Linked DNA regions of Astyanax mexicanus. The protein of the gene in region 2 purifies or fractionates together with the protein of the main gene of each other region. This does not show direct contact. Links are inferred from orthologs where the notes say so. Each region holds a gene or a part of one and is shown on either strand. Other genes may lie near its edges.

Region 1 (10,429 bases), on a different chromosome or scaffold from region 2:
TGCAGGAGGTGGTGGAAAGGGAGGAGCTGGTGGAGGTGCAAAAGGTGGTGGAGATAGAGGAGATAGTGAACATGTAGGAGGTGGTGTAGAAGGAGGACATGGAGGAAATAGAGGAAGTGGTGGAGGTAAAGAAGGTGCAGGAGGTGGAGATGATAGAGGTGGTGAAAATGGAAAAGGTGAAAGAGGTGGAGTAGATGGTGGATTTGGAAGAGGTGGAGGAGGTGAAGGTGTAGGAGGTGGAGAAGGTGAAAGAGGTGGAGGAGATGATGGAGGTGCAGGAGGTGGGGTAATTAGTGGAGGTGAAGAAGGTGTAGGAGGTGGAAAATGTGAAAGAAATGGAGTAGATTGTGCATTTGGAAGAAGTGTAGGAGGAGGTGGAGGAGATGGAGGAGATAAAGAAAGTGGTGGAGGTAAAGAAGGTGCAAAAGGTGGAGATGATAGAGGTGGTGAAAATGGAAAAAGTAAAAGAGGTTGAAAAGATGGTGGATTTTGAAGAGGTGGAGGAGGTGAAGGTGTAGGAGGTGGAGAACGTGAAAGAAGAAAGTAGATAATGGATTTGGAAGAGGTGTAGGAGGAAGTGGAGGTGAAGGAGGTGTTGAAGATGGAGGAGTTGGTGGAGTGGTGTTGGAGGAGGAGGTGGAGGTGCAGAAGGTGGAGGAGATGGTAGAGGTGCAAGAACTGGTGGCATTGGTGGAAATGATAGAGGTGGTAAAGGTGCAGTAGTTGGTGGAGATAACTCCTTAATAAGCCATAGCTATGCATTTTGATCTGTTCTCTCTTAGTTGTGACCACAACTTATACTTTTTTACATGATGTCACCTATAAAAAATGTAATATATATATATATATATATATATATATATATATATATATATATATATATATATATATATATATATATATATATACACCTATAAAAAATAATAATGTGTGGCCATGACTTATTAAGGTGTGGGGTGTTAAGGTGTTTTTCTCTGAACTCCGTGCTCCTCCATTAATTTTAATCCCGTCCGGACGCACATCTCTGAGTTTCCTCTTCTCGTGTTTTTATAAAATAGCTATTTGTCCACTGCTGCGCACCGTAGTTACACTTAAACACTTTGGGTGCCAGGGTTTCCACGGAGATCCACGTAAAAAAAAAAAAAACACAAAAGCAAGTGGAAATGGAGGAGCTATTGAACTCTGTGATGTCACGTGATAGAGAAAAAACCTTAAAAAGCCTTAACGAGCCTAAAACTCACTGGTCCTCCTGTTTTTTTTGTTTTTGTTTTTTTTTTTGCAGTCCGAATGCAGGAGTTTTATCACTGAGTAGAAGAGTGAAATATTTTACACAGAGAAAATAATGCAACTTGGAATGAGATGCAGTGAAATATAAAGATATGAACTCGGGAAAAGAATAAAGATGATCCTGCTTTCTAGGAATTGCTGGATTTCTCAGTGCTCATAACAACAATATTTAACTGGCTGGACTCAGTGTAAGTTCTGATTAGCTCCTCCCTCTTCTTTCTTTTCTTTCTTTATTTCTTTTTCTTTTTTTCTTTTTTCATCCCCCTCTCCTGCTGCACTGCGGTCGTGATGGAAGAGGGTTTGATAAAGCGTCTGGCAGGGCCTGGGAATCTGTGCGGGATGGTTTAGGATCTGTCATCGTCGAATGCCTTATTACCAGAGTTTGAGTTTAGCAGCAGGACTTTTCCTCTTGGCCCTGGGAAAATTTCCCATTCTCTCTAGAGACCCCACTACACGACACCCCCCCCCCTCCACCCAAACCCCCAACCACTCCAAACACCACCTCCACCCGAAGCCTTCAAACACCAAACACACACACTTCAGACTGTAGCTTCCCCCCAAAAAAAATCACACAGCATTAAAAACATCTCAGTGATAAAACCTCCTGATGAACACGTCTGAACTCACGTCTGTTAAAAAGCCTCTCTCTAAAAAAGAAAGAGGACTTTTATCAGCACATGATGGAAGTGTCCTACTTACAGAGCCCACATTCACCCTTCCCCATGAGATCCACTTACAACATTTGTCTGGTTTTATGCATCAAAGTATATTCATGCACAGATATACAGCACCAGTCAAAAGTCTGAACACATTTCTTCTTTTGTCTATTGTGTTTCTTTTCTTTTAATGATTTTTTTACATTGTAAAATTAATATTAAAGACTATATTAAAGCTGTACATGAACATGTGTGGAATGATAATGTATGATAAATAGCAACATTAAGCTTTAAGGACAGATCTGCACAAAAAAACTACATATATTTATATTAGCCAGTGGCATATTATGCATGTGACTGCTTTTCTACCTGTTGGCGGCGCCCCCGGTGGTCTGTGGTGGTATTGCTACCCTAAACATCGTTATAACGTATGCGCAAAAAATGTATTTCTTAATGGACTTTTGTAAACAAAAATCTTGATATTGTTCAAATATATTAGCGCTTCTCGTTTATGATTCAGACTTTTATTTTTTTACATAAGAACTTCATTTTTATTTGTTTAAATGTGTTGTTTTAAGTGATGTGTTGCTATTGTTTGTAAAAAAAATGTTTACAAATAATAAACAGAACACTTTAATCTTTAATCGTATTGTTCTTTTATGTATAAGCATAATTTTTTTTTATTCTTATGGGTACAATCAGGCAACATTTTGTCAGCTAAGTCAACATAACATTAGAAAAGAGTTAAATTGCTCAACAAAGACACCTAAGCGGAGCCACAACCCACAACTGTGCAATTAACAGGAGTGAGTGCCAGTAACAGGAGTGATTTTTTTTTGTCATAAATATCAATTATTTGAACATGCAGTCTATAACCATTTCTTTAAAACAAATATTTTCTTGAGAGAAAATCAAAGGAATTAGTGAACTTGCTTAGACTCAGAGTTAGAATACTGAGAATTAAAAAAAATATATTAAAAAATATGTTTAATTTGGAAAAAACAAGCAAATGGTACCCATTCAGTGGAATAGCCCAAATACAAATTACTTGTTTATTTTAAGCTATATTGCAGAATTTCCTCTAATGCCACACTCGCTTCAACAGAAAACTGAATTGCACTAAAATATAAATATATAGGATCAAAGAGTTCATCATTACTGTCTCCAGCTCATTTAACCACCTCTTTTATTTACTGATCAATTCTAAACTCTGCTTTATTTCCTCGGCTCTTCACTCACTGCTTAGCAACTGCTGCTGCTATCACCACCATCACCACCTCCACCGAGAAGATTCAGAGCTTTCTTTAGCTCTGTGACAAAACTGGAGATATTCTGAATGTAAAGATTCAGAAGCCGTGGGGAAACTCAGTAGATGCAGCTTTCATTTTCCAGCAGGACTTGGCACACTGCACACACTGCCAAAAGTACCAATTAGTCTTATATAATATTCTAATTTTCTGACAAAAGCTAACCATCATGTAAACACTCATCACAATCAGCTACACCTTTGTTTGCTGAAAGGTTATTCATTTTATTCGCTTAGTGGTTCAGTAGATAATATGAGCTAGTTAGAGTGGATTATCATTATTATCATTATTTAACTAACCTATTCAAACCTGAATTATTTCCAGTGATATATATATATATATATATATATATATATATATATATATATATATATATATATATATATATATATATATGAATGTTTTTTTCTGTCTGCAATGCATTTAAAATGATCAATAAATAAACTTTATATATTAATTAATATAATATTATTTGGATTTGTAATGTCTACTGCAGCAAAACAATAAAAACATTGTATGTTCATTCTACACATATTTTATATGAATTTTGTTTTACAAATAATTCCTAAGCAGTAAAATAAACTTAATTCATCAATAAATAAATTATTATTTGATTTCTATGTTTACTGCATGAAAATATATATATATGTTTTTTTGTTTTAACATATTTATAAATGTAAAAAAAGCTGAATGAGAAGACTGGTGTCTTTAAACACACACACACACACACACACACACACACGCACACACTCACTCACTCACTCTCCTCACTGTGAGCGGCGGGCGGTGCTGTTCTCGGCCGGGTGGGGGCGCTGTGCTCCGCGGGTCTCCACAGATCCGCCGCTTCAGTTCAGGAGAAGAAGAGGAGAAGTTACAGCGAGATGTTGCTGGATGAAATAAACCGGATTAAAGCGCTTTTAAACCGGAGTAAATAACTCCAGTTCTTATTTCTGCTGTATGTAATACTGTGTTTATCTGAGGAGCCGCTCCGGAAAACAGCCGGACTTTTATTCCTGTAGTTTTATTAACGAAACTGCGACCAACACAACACTTCACCCTAACGCTACAGACTGAGAGCGTGAGACAGCTCTGAACCCCCTACCGCTGGACTAAGGTAAGAGTGAGACAGCTCTGAACCCTCCACCGCTACAGACTGAGAGAGAGAGACAGCTCTGAACCCTCTACAACTGGACGGAGGAGAAAGAGAAACAGTTCTAAACGCCGCTGGACTGAGGAGAGAGTGAGACAGCTCTGAATTTCCCGCTGGATGGAGAGAATGAAACTGGTCTGAAAAAGTGAGACAGCTCTGAGCGTGTCTGAACTGAGAGAGTGAGACAATTCTGAACCCCCTACTGCTGGACTGAGGGAAGAGTGAGACAGCTTTGAACGCCGCTGGACTGAGATATTGAGATAGGTCTAAATTTCCTTTTAGGACCTAGATTGTGAGACAGCTCTGAGAAAGTGAGACAGCTCTGAATGCTGCGGGACTGAGAAAGTGAGACAGGTATGATTTTACTTCTGCACTGAGAGCGTGAGACAGCTCTGAACCCCGCTGGACTGACAGAGTTTGACAGATCTTAATTTCCCCTTTAAACTGAGAGTGTGAGACAGCTCTGAGAAAGTTAGACAGCTCTGAATACCGCTGAACTAAGAGAGTGAGGCAGCTCTGAATTTCCCCCTGGACTGAGAGAGTGAGACAGCTCTGGAACCCCCTGGTATGAGAGAGTGAGACAGTTCTGAATTTCCCTCTGCACTAAGAGAGTGAGACAGCTCTAAATTTCCCTCTGGACTGAGAGTGTGAGACAGCTCTGAATTTCCCTCTGGACTGAGATAGTTAGACAGCTCTGAATTTCCCTTTGGGCTGAGAGAGTGAGACAGCTCTGAACAGCCATGAGCTCATTTGGTGGGGTTACCTGTCTCACCACCAAGGGTCTGGACATCAGTCTGGCGGCTCTGCAGAGACAGGACCCCTATATTAATAATATCGTGGATGTGGCGAGTCAGGTCGCCCTCTACACCTTTAATAACGAGACTAACGAGTGGGTGAGTCTACAGCAACACCATAGCAACCATTTAGCAACCAGCTTGGAGACCATCGCAACACCTTAGCATACACCTAGCAACCGCTTAGCAACAACATAGCAACCACCACAGATACTGTAGCAACACCTTAGCAACCACCTAGCTACCACTTAGAAACACCATAGCAACCACTTAGCAACCAGCACGAATAACATTGCAACACCTTAGCACACACCTAGTAACCGCTTTGCAACATCTAAGCAACCACTTAGCAACACCATTGCAACCACCACAGATACCATACATAGTAACACCCTAGCAACCACTTAGCAACCAGCATGAATAACATTGCAACACCTTAGCATACACCTAGCAAACCACCAGGAACACCTCAGCAACCACTTAGCAACACCTTAGCAACTGCATAGCAGGGAAGAGCCTAATGCAAAAAATATATATACATTATCAACATTAACATTTTAATATTTTGACATTATAGTTATTATAGCTTTTAGTAAAATGTGTTTTAGGGAGGGGGTTGGGGCCTAGTGCAATATAGGATATTACTTTTACTTTTATACTTTAAGTAGTTTTAAATCCAGTACTTTTTAAACACTTTTACTAAAAGAGTAAAAAGCTTGAGTTGATTCTTCTTTAACTTTTACAGAAGTATTTTATTAAATTCTAGTATTTATACTTCTACCTACAGAGTATGAATGGAGATACTTTTCACATCTTTGTCTTAAAATATAAAATTAATATTAAAGCTCACCTTCCGCGAAAATCCAATTTTTCTTGTTTTTTTGTGGAATACAGTAGGTCTCTCCGAGTTGAATGTGTACACCTGCACATTAAACTGTTTTGCAGCCCCCATTGTCTGCAGGAGCTAAGCAAAGAAATCCCCCCTCCCCCCCTCCGAAAAACGGGTGAATTTTGAATTATCTTTCTGCCTACGTAGGCAGAAACTCACAGACCAGCCCACCTTGGCTCGAGAAACTCCCAGAGGCGGAGCTGAAGCGACGCAACATCACCGCTCATCAGTTAGGAGGTGGGAGGCAGTGAGCGGCAGAGCGGCGGAGGGGCGTCGCAGTGCTCCTAGCCAATCAGAGGAGAGATATTTGCATGCTGTTTGCATGTATGAATATTCATGAGCAAAGCTGGAATCCGGTCATTTTGGACACACCCCTAAAACAGTCCATTAAAAAAGAGCTATACAGAGACACCTGAGCACTTTTTTTTTTACAAAAACGGCTCACATGTCATTCATTCATACTAGAGACCACAACTAGACATTTTAAAATGAAAGAAAAAACGACGGAAGGTGAGCTTTAAATAAAAATAGAATTAGATAGAAAGCTAGCTTAGCTTTCTCACTGATTTACTGCTTGTTTTAAATGCATATCGTATTGTATGCAATAATATCGCCAACATTTTTTAATATGGTGAACGATAGATATTATACCCTGTAATATGGCGCAATATCACCCACCCCTAATTATCTACTTTTTTTATCAAAAGAAAAATTCACACTGTTCTCATTTCCAATTATATATCTACTAGAGACAGATTATATCTGTCCAGTATCATTTATTTTACTTTAATCCTGTATATACGGAGATATTTAGGAGCATTATTATTATTATTAGTAGTAGTAGTATCATGATATTGTGGATCATTTACTTCTGTTACAAATCTGATAAAATTATTCTCTTTTTTTTGTATTTATCTCAGTTAGGCGTGTGCCGTATCGTATGCAATAATAAAATTTTATTTAAATTTGAATTTTGTTGCAGTAGTGTATTCTTAGATTTTTTTTACAATTCATTGTTTTGTCATGATCGCCAAGAGTATCGTTATATTGTATAAAAATACCATGAAATATCGTGATATTATTTTAGGGCCGTATCGCCCACCCCAATAAGACAGACTGAAATTAACTGACTCTTATTTTGTTCTGTTTTTCAGGAGAAGACTGAAATTGAGGGGACGTTGTTTGTGTATACGAGGTAATAAACATGATCACTATAGAGAGAGATAAGAGTTAAATAGTGGAGAAAGTGAAAAGTGCACTGGATTCATGGTGTGATTTATGAGGTGTGAAAGATGGCGGTAGTGAATAGTGCGACAGGTATGTGCAGCAGCTCCTGGAGCCGAACTCCTCATCTGTTTCAGCGCTGTTATTAAACATGTCTGCAGTACAGTGGCTGCTGAAGTGCAGTTAAACAAATCGTCTTCCTGTTCTCTGAATGCCTCTGTGATTGGGTGATGCTTCCATGCAGAAAAACAATGTACTGACAGAAACAAAGTTCTCTCACAGCAGCTTAGAGCAGATCAGAGAGGAAAATATGGAAACTTTTAGCTTTAATTACGGCATGAATTAGCTGTGGCATCGTTTCCACATGTTTCTGCAATGTTTCAACATTTATTTCTGTAATTTATTACATTTCTCCTAAAGTTCTTACTCATATTGATGATGGGATCTTTGGAGCACTATGCAGAGTCCTCTCCAGGGCTGAGAGGTTAATCAAATTCATTTGATGAATTTGGTTCTGATACATCAGCTCACAGACGCAGCCTCGTGCTGATCAACATCACCCTAAGAGCGCCATCAATGCAAACATCTACTCTCTCAGGGCTCCGGCAGCTGATGGCAAGCTGCATGACCGGGATTCGAACCAGCGATCTCCCGATAATTGTGGCAGCACTTTAGATCGCTTAACCATCGTTTTTGGTGTTTAAAGTGATTTTAAAGTATGATAATAAAATAAATTGTAGATTTTTACATATAGAGGCTCCAGAGTGAGTCTCAGTAGATTTAATAAAATTAATAAAGCTTAATGAAACAAATTGTTAGCTACATAAGAACTAAAAATCTGAGAATCATATATTTAAAGAATATCAATATTATTATTATTTTTTTTTTCTCCCCACATTGCCAGGCCCTACCCGCATCAGTTAACATTACAGTCGTTTCATTCTCTGTGTTTTAGACTCGCGTCTCCGAAGCATGGCTTTACCATCATGAACCGCCTCAGTATGGAGAACCTGACTGAACCAATCACCAAAGACCTGGACTTCCAGCTTCAGGACCCGTTTCTGCTCTACAGGAACGCTCGCTGTGAGTATTTCAGAATCATCTTCCTGTCCTCTTCCTGTCCTCTTCCTGTCATCTGCCTATCATCTTCTAGAACACCCATTTTATTGGTAGGATGTAAAATGTCCCTCAGAGTAGAGAGGTTCTGGTCACTCTGTGGAGGAGATGTAGGAGATGTATGATGGTGGGTGGAGGTGATGGAGGAGATTTATGTGCTCTGGGGGTGAGTGTGTAGTTAAGGGAAGGTAGATGATGGTGTGTAGGAGATGGAGTAGATGTATGATGGTGGGTGGAGGAGGTGGAGGTGATGGAGTAGATGTATGATTGTGGGTGGAGGAGGCGGAGAAGATGAAGGGGAGGTATGGTGGTGGATGGAGGAGGTGGAGGTGATGGAGATGTATGATGGTGGGTGGAGGAGATATAGGAGATGGATGTGCTCTGGGAATGAGTGTGTAGTAAAGGGAAGGTAGATGATGATGGGTTGAGAAGATGTATGATGGTGGGTGGAGGAGATGTAGGAGATGTATGATGGTGTTTGGAGGTGATGGAGGAGATGAGTATGAGATGTATGATGGTGGGTGGAGGAGATATATGATGATGGGTTGAGAAGATGTATGATGGTGTGTGGAGGAGATGTAGGAGATGTATGGTGGTGGGTGGAGGAGATGTATGATGGTGGGTGGAGGTGATGGAGGAGATGTATGATGGTGGGTGGAGGTGATGGAGGAGATGTATGATGGTGGGTGGAGGAGATGGAGGAGATGTATGATGGTGGGTGGAGGAGATGGAGGAGATGTATGATGGTGGGTGGAGGTGATGGAGGAGATGTATGATGGTGGGTGGAGGAGATGGAGGAGATGTATGATGATGGGTGGAGGAGATGTATGATGGTGGATGGAGGAGATGTATGATGATGGTGGAGGAGATGTATGACGTGGGTGGAGGAGATATATGATGATGGGTGGAGGAGATGTATGATGATGGGTGGAGGAGATGTATGATGGTGAGTGGAGGTGATGGAGGAGATGTATGATGGTGGGTGGAGGAGATGTGTGATGGTGGGTGGAGGTGATGGAGGAGATGTATGATGGTGATGGAGGAGCTGTATGATGGTGGGTGGAGGAGATGTATGATGGTGGGTGGAGGTGATGGAGGAGATGTATGATGGTGGGTGGAGGAGATGTATGATGATGGGTGGAGGAGATGTGTGATGGTGGGTGGAGGTGATGGAGGAGATGTATGAGGATGGGTGGAGGAGATGTATGATGGTGGATGGAGGAGATGTATGATGGTGGAGGAGATGTATGACGTGGGTGGAGGAGATATATGATGATGGGTGGAGGAGATGTATGATGATGGGTGGAGGAGATGTATGATGGTGAGTGGAGGTGATGGAGGAGATGTATGATGGTGGGTGGAGGAGATGTGTGATGGTGGGTGGAGGTGATGGAGGAGATGTATGATGGTGGGTGGAGGTGATGGAGGAGATGTATGATGGTGGGTGGAGGTGATGGAGGAGATGTATGATGGTGGGTGGAGGAGATGTGTGATGGTGGGTGGAGGTGATGGAGGAGATGTATGATGGTGGGTGGAGGTGATGGAGGAGATGTATGATGGTGGGTGGAGGAGATGGAGGAGATGTATGATGATGGGTGGAGGAGATGTGTGATGGTGGGTGGAGGTGATGGAGGAGATGTATGATGGTGGGTGGAGGTGATGGAGGAGATGTATGATGGTGGGTGGAGGAGATGGAGGAGATGTATGATGATGGGTGGAGGAGATGTATGATGGTGGGTGGAGGAGATGGAAGAGATGTATGATGATGGGTGGAGGAGATGTATGACGTGGGTGGAGGAGATGGAAGAGATATATGATGATGGGTGGAGGAGATGTATGGTGGTGGGTGGAGGTGATGTAGGTGGTGGGTGGAGGAGGTGTAGGTGATGGAGGTGCTGTATGGTGGTAGGTGGAGGTGGTGTAGGTGATGGAGGTGCTGTATGATGGTAGGTGGAGGTGGTGTAGGTGATGGAGGAGATGTATGATGATGGGTGGAGGAGATGTAT
Region 2 (10,429 bases):
GGAGAGATAAATATCCATTTCAATAAATATCCATGACTTGTTTAACTTTGTTAACCTGCTTGAATTGCTTAGCTAACTTGCATAACTTAGAAAACTCGGCTGGTTATAAACTGATTATTCTGTTAATCTTTGTAGTCATGTTACGTGCCAAAAGGGCACATATGTTTTTTGTTTGTTTGTTTGTATTCTTTCTATTTTGTACTTTTTCTAGTCTATCACTTTCCTGCTCCAGAGTACTGCTTTTATTGTTTTAATACTATTACAGTTTTGTCTTTAAACTTAAATAAGACAATCACAACACATTGTCTTGCTTACAGTGTCACAAAATGTCGCAAGACTGAGAGATTGATCATTTAAATATAGCTACTATAGTTAAAAATCCATAGTTAATTCATTACATTGTATCTCATTCTCCCACAGGTTTGGTGCGGTCATCCTGTCAGCACCCCTGTAGTAAACCATGGCTGAACCTGAACTTCTGTTAGACTCCAACATTCGCCTTTGGGTGGTCTTACCTATAGTGTTCATCACCTTCCTTGTTGGAGTCATTCGACATTACGTCTCGATTTTGTTGCAGAGTGACAAGAAACTCACACTAGAGCAGGTTTCTGACAGGTAATATGCTTATATTGCTTTTGCACTTACGCTCACTGTTTTGTCAGGAAGCTTAAACATTAAACACTTAACCAACTAAATAATTATTACCTTTCTTTTTAGCGTGAGTTAAACATGATATGCTTTACTCTTGCTCAGCTAATGAAAAGAAGCTCAGACCTGTGGATATCACACAAGTGCTAAGATACCCTGGTATAGTTTAGCATGGCAGCTAAAGTGAATAAACTGTGAGTACAAATGGTATGCTAACATTCAATTATGTATCATGTCTCATATATAGCCAGGTTCTCATCAGGAGCAGAGTATTAAGAGAAAATGGAAAATACATCCCCAAACAGGTGTGTTTTTTTAATTACATTCTCTGTAAGTTTTTACAATTATTAAGTGATTTAATTTATATTTATTCTGCGTATGTATACAGTTGCACATAATATTTACACTTAATTTATTTTTGTTTTCTTGTAGTCCTTCTTAATGAGGAAATTTTACTTCAATAACCAAGATGATGGGTTCTTTAAAAAGACAAAAAGAAAGGTGGTTCCTCCCTCTCCAATGACTGGTATGTGGGGCTATCTTATGCAGGACTTTTGCTTCACTGACATTTTAGTTAATTTTTCTGATTTTTCTGATATTCATATTCTTGAAATGTTTAATTAAATATTAATTTAACCTGTGGATATATCATTACAGACCCCAGCATGTTGACAGACATGATGAAAGGCAATGTAACAAATGTTCTTCCCATGATCCTCATTGGTGGCTGGATCAACTGGACATTTTCTGGGTTTGTTACAAGTAAGGAATGTTTTTAATTTGAACAAAAATTATATTTATTTGCTTGTTGGATTATCAGAATGAACAGTGACACCATGTAATAACATATAATATGTATTTTGTCAGTTGGTCTGTACACTAAGCAACAAAAATATTCTCTTCTTAGCTAAAGTACCATTTCCGCTCACACTCCGTTTTAAGCCAATGTTGCAGCAGGGTATTGAGTTGCTCTCACTTGATGCATCTTGGTAAGTAGTTTCCAGATACAATTTTATACGAACACACCCAATTTGTATTGTTGTTGTTACTTTTGTGTATCAGTGCAAATAATGTAATGTCATAACTGGTGCAGTTAATATGGTAACCAGTAAGGTTGTGTCATAAGTATTCTTGCTATTTACATCCATAGGGTAAGCTCTGCATCCTGGTATTTCTTGAATGTTTTTGGCTTAAGAAGCATGTATTCTTTGATCCTTGGGCAAGATAATGGTAAGAAGCTTCCTTTCTAATTTATGATGCATTTTCTCAATTTTATATTGATGCAGATACAGTTTTTAAAAATTGTTTGATGGGGTTGTTTTATTGCATTTAAGGCATTAAGGTTTGTGTTTGAATGCTTTTAGTAAAGAAACTATTAACAAGTTATGTTACTGTTATAGGTGCGGATCAGTCTCGAATCATGCAGGACCAAATGAGTGGTGCTGCCATGGCAATGCCTGCAGACACAAACAAAGCATTTAAGGTAACTGGACAAAATGATGTTAAGTTATATAAATTATTTAAATGTTTTGTGGGGTTACATCTTTGCCTTATGATTTGTTATGTACTGGAATTCTGTAAAGATGCTTTGTAATCACAACAGTTTGTAAAAAGTGCTATACAAAAGTATTAACTTTGATAAAATGCCTTAAACAACACACAGTCAATATGATCAATGTGGAGAATTCTTATGAATTTGAGAAAAAAAAAACACATTCCAGTTTTTAGCACACAGTAAAGGCCAGAGCAAACTTACCCAACAAGCCTAGATATTGATTTGTCACTTTAGCTACACTTAATGTTGCAGAATGTTCTATAACTCTCACTTTTATCTTGTCCTCAGGCAGAATGGGAGGCTTTGGAGTTGACAGACCACCAGTGGGCACTAGAGAGTGTGGAGGAGGACCTGATGAGCAAGGACTTGGACCTGTCTGGCATGTTTAGCAAAGATTTGCCAACAGGAATTTTCTAATGGCCTGTTACATTAAGGAACTTAAATCTCATCAGCCATAATCTAATTATAATTATATTATTTAAATATAATTATAATTTAAAAAAAATGTGTGGACTGGTTTTGGAACTGATCAGACACCTGTTAGTTCCTGATGACTTGCATAAACCTCACTGCAACATATCACATGTGCATGCACTGTTTCATTTTTTTCATTCATCCCATGCTTTTTGTATTATAGAAGTAGTTTAGATTATGATTTTAAGCTTAACGTTTTAACTTAACTCTTTTTCAGTTGCTACTTGTAATAGAGCAAAAATACAGTCACACTACAATGCAACCCTTGGGGGCTGTTGTGGCATCAGGTAGTATATATCGTGAAACTATTTTTACTGCTGAGCAAACAATGTACGAGTTTGATTATAAATACACTTGGTTGAGTTGAAAGCAGTGTTAAACTGAACCAGGTGGAATGAAAATAAGATAATACAGCTTACAGTAGTATTACACCCTGGTCTGATCATAAACACCATTATTATAATGTATTTTTGTTTCCTTTTAAAGCATCCATGTAGGTTTTGTTTTATTAGACCAGAGGATTAATGGGACCATGGTTAATTGGAGGAATTTTAGAAAGTGGACCAAGCCAAAACTACTGAGGTTCAGTCATATGTGTCTGACCATTATGTTTGGGATCACTAGTGCTTCCCTGATGGACAGCAGCTTAGTGTGGTCCTACTATGCCCCTGATCCTTGTCTGTTGTGTATTAAAGTACCCGTAGTCTGGTAGTGTCTCTAACATTTCCAAAAGGCATGATCCATTGTTGTGCTTAGTTTTGTATTTATTTAATTAGTTTTGTAACATTTTTATTATGTTTTGTAAAGTGACTTTTGACACCCTCGTACAGTTGCAGGAAATGTTCACCCATAATAGAACTTGTTTTACCAAAACTGTGTTTGTGTCATAATTAATTGTGAGGTAGAGTGATTTTTTTTTTATTCTGAACCACCAGCAACTTGTTGTTTTTTTGTTGTACACTGTGGAGCATATTGCATGAGCAGATCTAGAATGTATGGTTGCCTATCACTGCTACTTAGGGGATAAGGAAACTCACGTATAATAAATACAATGGCAAGATTGTAAGTCATAAGAAGAAATGTAAGTCATGCTAAGTGACTTAGCTAGTGTGCCATAAGTGTAACAGACTTCCATATAACTGACTTAGTGTATCATAATTATGACTTCTCATAGACTACTAAGAAACACATTATTTTGACTTATATACTATCTGTATGATTATTTTTAATGTGGGTTCTATTATCTCCACAAGCAGGGGAGACATAGCCGTGTATTTTTCAGAACATATTACAGACACTGCTAATCTGTGTTACTGGATATCCAAATCAATTTCTGTAGTACCACCAGAGAAGTCATTTTGGTATCTACTGTCATAAATGTTAGTTTTATTAACAATATACTCTTTTATTGTAATGATTAATTTATTTCTTCTCAAAAACATTTAACCCTCTACAGTATGGTATTGTCCTGCCTTCAAGCAACAAACCACTTTTTTGATTATTACACTGTCTCCTAAATGTTAAATATGAAAAGAAGTATATTTAGAAAATGTATTTTTGCTATTTTTGCTTTTTATTTACCTCAATTATTTTTATTTGTTGCCTCTGTTTGATCATAAGGCAATAATGCTGAAGCAGTGGTCCACATTTGTTTGATCGATATAACAAGGCCCCACCAAACGAGTTTTATAGTTAGATAGCTAGCTAGTTGGCTGGCATAGGTTAGTAACAAAAAAGTAATAACAATATTTTGATAGATGAACAAAGTCTAAATACTCTTCTAGTCAAAAACAATTGTCTTTTGTAGCCAAGTTTGCATATGTGCATTATTTAACAGAGTATTTAAGAGGGTTTGATTATTACTGAAATAAAGTTAACTATTTCCTTCTCGTTCCACTCATACCTTTCTATTAATATAAATCTACTTTAGTATTATGAATACATTTGGATGCAGTCCTGCTGCTGGGTTTACTTGCTGGGCTGGTGCGGTGCGTTTACTAGCTTTTAGCCAGCCGGGCTAGCGCGCTCTCCCTACAGCTGCGCGCCCACACGCGCTCCGGGTTCACTCACTGCACGATGGCGGAGGGAGGCGGACCCGAGTCGGGGAACGCTTCGGACCCTGATGCGGAGCCCGGGCCGGCTCAAGCGGCGGTACCTTCTATCGACAGTCAAAAACAGACGATAGGATCATCGCTGAAGACCACACTGCGAAAGGGAGATGAATGGTGAGACTATGAATAAGTAGGGCTGGATTTAGAGTGGAGCAAAGTTAGCAAACCTGCTGCTGTAGCCTCGGCTAGGAGCCCTCCTCAGGCCTACCGCTTCACTACGGGCACGGAACTATTAGATATCTAGCTATGCTATGCTAAGACAGCTAAGCTAACTAGTTAGCTTGCTGGGCTTTTTAAAGCTAACAGTGAAGTAATTTGGTGGTTATAGTATTTGCCTCACTGGCAAGGTTATTAACTATTAGAATATTTGGATATTTTGTCCAGCTGTGTGGTAGTTGGCTAAGATAACCAACAGCTAGCTATATGTTTGAACTAATGTTAGCTAACTAGATAGCTTAGCTAGTCGGCTACACTGTTAGCTAGCTAGCTAACGTTACCGGTATGTGTCACACGTATTCTCAGTATTCTCTCATTAGCCACCCTACGCTGTCTTAGCTAGGTAAGCTAACGCTAGCTAACTAGTAATCTTTCTAAACTTATATAAATTGGACACATTCTTTGGCTAGCTAACCTAGCTACAAATTATTTAGTTATTTATCAGTGTGCTGTTCAAACCCAGATAGGTTGTAGCTAGCTAATTCTGTTAGCTAGAATTTTCTTATAAGGAGTTGCTGGCAGGTTGGCTAGCTAACATTACGTAGTTAGCTAGCTTAGCTTAGCTTGCTCGCATGCATGATATTATCAGATAGGTTAGCTTGCTTGCTTGTTAGCCGGCTACATGGGGAACTAAGCATTAAAATAGATAGATAGGTTAGCTAGCTGGCTAGTTAGCTAATTTATAGACACATAATTTTGTAGCCAGGCTGTTCTGTGTGGTCAGCTAGATAGATAAGTGCACATATCAGTCATGTTAGTTAGTAACATACGCTAGCAAGCTACTGCTTTGTCATGGGCACTGGATAACACCCAGTGCCTGTGCAAACTGGCAGCCAAAGACAGATAGTCCGTGGCAAATAACCTTAAAAAGTGAGTAAAGTTAACTAGATTAGTTGGCTGTCACACAATGTTAACCTATATCGTCGTAACGTCACTTTATATTTGTAGCTACAGTCAATCAACAGACATGCCCGCCTGCTTGACCGGCCGGTTTAGCTGTCAGTCAGTAAAGTTAGCAGTGTGCTGCCTGGTGGGTTTTTAGCTATCCTAGCTAATTTAACTAACCATATGACAGTGGTTTTCTTGATATGGCTTCATGAGCGTTCCCATTCTAGATTATGTCCAAAGACCAGCCCAACTTAAAACAAAACCACAAACAAAATAATTCAGGTGCCTTAGTCAAATGGAATCCTTTGCTAACAAGCTTATGCAGTAGAACAGGTTCCTGGTTTAGAGACGATTAAGGATTTCTATTTCAGTTTCTATATTGGTGATGCTAAATAGTGCATTAGAGTTCACTTTTGTGTTGTGTTTTTGTGAGTAGTTAAGAATTACAACAAATGTTTACCATAAGTGAGCAAACTACCTAATCAGATTAAGATAAGGTTTGATTGTTTGCCTTTGTAAGTCTTGTAACACTAATTTAATTTAATAATCTCTACCCAACCTTCTATGTCCTGTAGGTTTTTGATCGACAGCAGGTGGTTCAAACAGTGGAAAAAATATGTGGGCTTTGACAGTTGGGATATGTACAATGTTGGAGAACATAATCTATACCCAGGACCCATTGACAACTCGGGACTGTTTTCAGGTAAGTTAATTATAAATTCATATGTATGTCTGTCTTTAGAATAAGATGTATCCTGCCACTGTCATGAAAAAAACAAAACAAAAAAAAAATGTTTCTAACTTCATTGTTGGCATTTTGTCATAAGTTGAGTCTAGTGCCTGTACTTTATATTGTTAAATGGAAAGGGCAGTTTTATGGCAGGATTAACATTGTTTGAGTAATGAGGAAAAGAGTAAAATAAAATATTATTTTAATTAAAAAAAAAAAATCATAGCCAAATGCACTGGTGGAGTTACAGTTACATACTTATTATGGCTGTTGTAATGAACACTGCTCTTAAATAGGTGTGTAATGATAGCAATAAAGATTTGGATTGTCTTTGGATTGCTTCAGTTTTAATGGGCTACATAACATTTTTTTGTCTCCTCTATTGTATTGCAGACCAAGAAACCCAAGCGCTAAAAGATCATCTTATAGATGAATTAGACTATGTCTTGGTGCCCACAGAAGCTTGGAATAAGCTTGTTAGTTGGTATGGCTGTCTGGAGGGACAGAAACCTATTGTCAGGAAGGTAAAGCACTGCCTTCGCTTAAGTCTGTACTTTATTTCGAAATATATACATTTTCTTTGTAATCACAGCACATACTTTTCTTCAGATAAATGTGTTTCTGATGCATTTTGTTTTGATGTGTCAACTAGGTGGTTGAGCATGGGATGTTTGTGAAGCACTGTAAAGTGGAAGTCTATCTGTTGGAGCTGAATCTGTGTGAGAATGACAACATGGACAATGTGGTTACACGCCATTTCAGCAAAGCTGATACCATTGGTATGAGACCTTGAATAGTATCAGTATTGTGACCAATTACAGGAAAGGCTGGAAAATACACTGATGTCATATCACAGCTGCTGATTTATAATGGTTTGTTTTCTTGTCTCAGATACAATTGAAAAGGAGATGAGGTCTCTTTTTAACATCCCATCAGAAAAAGAAACTCGATTGTGGAACAAGTACATGAGCAACACATACGAGCAGCTGAACAAGCCTGACAGCACTGTTCAGGATGCTGGGCTTTTTCAGGGCCAGGTAGGATTCTACTATTCTATACAGCTAATAATGTTCTGCTTCTTTTTGTTCAGTGCCAAAATTATTTTTTGTAACTGTCTGGTAAGCAATTGGAAAGTGCTTACATGCGAGTACTTTGATTTGTATGAGCTCATAGTTTAACTGTTTTCTTTCAGGTGCTTGTAATTGAAAGGAAGAATGAAGATGGCACATGGCCCAGACAAGCCTCTCATACCAAGTGAATATATTCAAAGTCATCATTATAAATAGTTATCCATAAATAGTATTTGATGTCACTAATTTTTATTTATTTATATGAACTAATTTGCTTTCAGGTCCAGTACAACCACCTCTAGGACTTTTACTACGTCACCGAAATTCTCTTCCAATTCGTCTGCCACTATTTCATCCACAGTGACCAATGGAGACAGCAGCAGCAATTCTAGTTACATGCTAAACAATAGCACTTCTTCTGGTAACCGGTATGTTTTCACACAGTCCCTTTTTTATGTTCTATGCATTAGGGAAAAAAAACGTTTTTAACTTTTTAATCAGTGACTTTAATCCTTTAAATCATAATCTGTCCCTATACAACTATCCTCACAATTTATTTTCTAGTTTAAAATATAATTTTTACTGACTATTTAATCTTCTTCAGGTTGGGAGGATACAACTCCTACAGCTCGTCCTACAGTTACAGAGAATCTGCTTCACAGCCTGGCCTCTGTGGCCTTAGTAATCTGGGCAACACCTGCTTCATGAACTCTGCACTGCAGGTACACACACACACACACACACACACACTTGCCTTTATATGTTGAGTCCCCCTAAACTCAATATAGTACATACATAGTTGTCAGCATAGTATAAACATGCACTTATCTATGATGAATATACTCCCTTCTAAATCGGTGTCATTTTTCTACAGTGCTTGAGCAATTCACCGCCCCTAACAGAATATTTTTTGGAGGACCAGTATGAAGCTGAGATCAATCGGGAGAATCCGTTAGGCATGCGAGGAGAGATTGCTGAGGCCTATGCAGACTTAGTTAAACAGATGTGGCTTAGCCGAAGCAGCTATGTGGCTCCCCGCACTTTCAAAGTAAGTAAAGCAGCTATGCTGAACGCATTACATTCAACCTGTTTATGTTAAAATTAGTATGAATTTTCAGGTAAAGCCAACAGTTTTCACTAGATTGCATCAGAGATCAGTGATACAGTACATGTCATGACTTTAATAATGAATTCCCTGCATCTAAGACTGGAGTAAAATTATTTTATCAGGCAAATCGGTGCAGCTTTTTTAGACAATATTTAAAAATTGGTTACCGTCTTGAAAGATGCCATATTTAGTTTCTGAAATAAAAGGGTGTCTTGTATCTTTTGACTTGCACTGTATTGTGCAGCACTATTCATACAAATAGCTCATACATGTTTAGCCAGTTGTGGACAATCAAAATTTGTAGCACAGTCTGCCAGGACTGCAGTAAAAATTCTTATCCTGGAGGTTGACGTTTTTTCTTTGTGCAGACACAGGTCGGACGCTTTGCCCCCCAGTTCTCAGGGTACCAACAGCAGGACTCTCAGGAGCTGCTGGCCTTTTTGCTGGATGGCCTGCATGAAGACCTTAACCGTGTCAAGAAGAAGCCTTACTTGGCCCTAAGAGATGCAGAGGGCCGGCCTGATGAGGTACTTCAATAACCAATACTACTTACTATGATTCTCACACATCCTGAATTTCTATGTGTTTTTTTCCTTTTCTTCTCTGCCGTTTCATATTCATTAAAACCAATATGACAAATAGAGCAGTGGGGTTCTAGAAGTGTCAATCATTAATATTTATGTTTGAGTTCTAGATGATAAACCACACATTATGGCAATTCAAAGAATGACCTAGAAGGACATTCATGTACATATTTTGAGGAGTCTTTTTAAAAACAATAACAGGGCTTCAGGTTGTTAATGACTAGGTTGATTGCATGGACATATATATTTTCTTCTAATTTAGTGTTTAAATATAAAATAGTGTTAGTCAGTTTTAACCTGCAGGACAGTGCCTTTCGTCGCATTACATGTGCATTTGTTTTATATTCTTTCATGAGTTTTTTTTCTTTGGTTGATTTTGCTTACTTTACATTCACAGATTGTAGCTAAAGAGGCCTGGACAAACCATCGGCTCCGAAATGACTCCATCATTGTGGATATCTTTCATGGCTTGTTCAAGTCTACCTTAGTCTGCCCTGAGTGCTCCAAAGTGTCTGTGACTTTTGATCCTTTCTGCTACCTCACGCTGCCCCTGCCCATGAAAAAGGACCGCACCATGGAGGTGATCCTGGTTTGTGCCGACCCTCTATCCAGACCCACAAAAGTAAGTTTATATAGGATTGTACTTATTTTCTCCAGCTTTTGTTTATATACATTGAAACGGGGTGGTTATTGTGTGCTTGTTGAATAGCACTACTTTACTAGTGCAGAAGCATTTTGGTTTTGTTGTTTTGCTAAAAGTGGTTAGATAATATGAACTGAAGGTCAAATCATATTTTGATTTTCCCTGTTTTCTGTCCTTTAAGTACCGTGTAGTTGTCCCGAAAATAGGCACAGTGGCAGACCTGTGCAGTGCTTTGTCAAAACTGTCTGGAGTTCCTGCAGAGAATGTAAGATTTTAAATGTTTGATCTTTTCAATGTTCTGCTATTTTTTCTCATTTATACCCAGTTTATATAGGATTCAAAGGCTGCTTTAATATTAGTTTGCATCAGAAAACATTCTGAAGTTTTGAGCTTTTCTCACCC

What was found. The genes of interacting proteins can lie anywhere in the genome.
Region 1: the proteins of usp4 (region 2) and dcp1b purify together in Homo sapiens (co-immunoprecipitation; 3 studies listed by BioGRID and IntAct, with this or other methods). This does not show direct contact. The link is inferred for Astyanax mexicanus from reciprocal best matches to the Homo sapiens genes USP4 and DCP1B.

What each region holds. Positions count from the first base shown.
Region 1 is NC_064409.1:1,377,101-1,387,529, reverse strand, and holds the start of dcp1b (mRNA-decapping enzyme 1B), read left to right. Parts: upstream 1-4,077; 5' UTR 4,078-5,140; coding exon 5,141-5,293; intron 5,294-7,237; coding exon 7,238-7,278; intron 7,279-8,262; coding exon 8,263-8,390; intron 8,391-8,405; exon of another isoform or gene 8,406-9,434; intron 9,435-9,754; exon of another isoform or gene 9,755-10,291; intron 10,292-10,332; exon of another isoform or gene 10,333-10,429. UniProt on the Homo sapiens protein: May play a role in the degradation of mRNAs, both in normal mRNA turnover and in nonsense-mediated mRNA decay. May remove the 7-methyl guanine cap structure from mRNA molecules, yielding a 5'-phosphorylated mRNA fragment and 7m-GDP.
Region 2 is NC_064412.1:15,130,069-15,140,497, forward strand, and holds the start of usp4 (ubiquitin carboxyl-terminal hydrolase 4), read left to right. Parts: upstream 1-4,717; 5' UTR 4,718-4,753; coding exon 4,754-4,902; intron 4,903-6,467; coding exon 6,468-6,595; intron 6,596-7,015; coding exon 7,016-7,146; intron 7,147-7,274; coding exon 7,275-7,401; intron 7,402-7,513; coding exon 7,514-7,659; intron 7,660-7,814; coding exon 7,815-7,876; intron 7,877-7,973; coding exon 7,974-8,120; intron 8,121-8,296; coding exon 8,297-8,414; intron 8,415-8,566; coding exon 8,567-8,740; intron 8,741-9,168; coding exon 9,169-9,327; intron 9,328-9,781; coding exon 9,782-10,006; intron 10,007-10,208; coding exon 10,209-10,292; intron 10,293-10,429. Other genes in the region: emc3 (ER membrane protein complex subunit 3), read left to right, coding at 461-615, 896-953, 1,081-1,174, 1,306-1,410, 1,556-1,637, 1,799-1,878, 2,049-2,131, 2,492-2,620.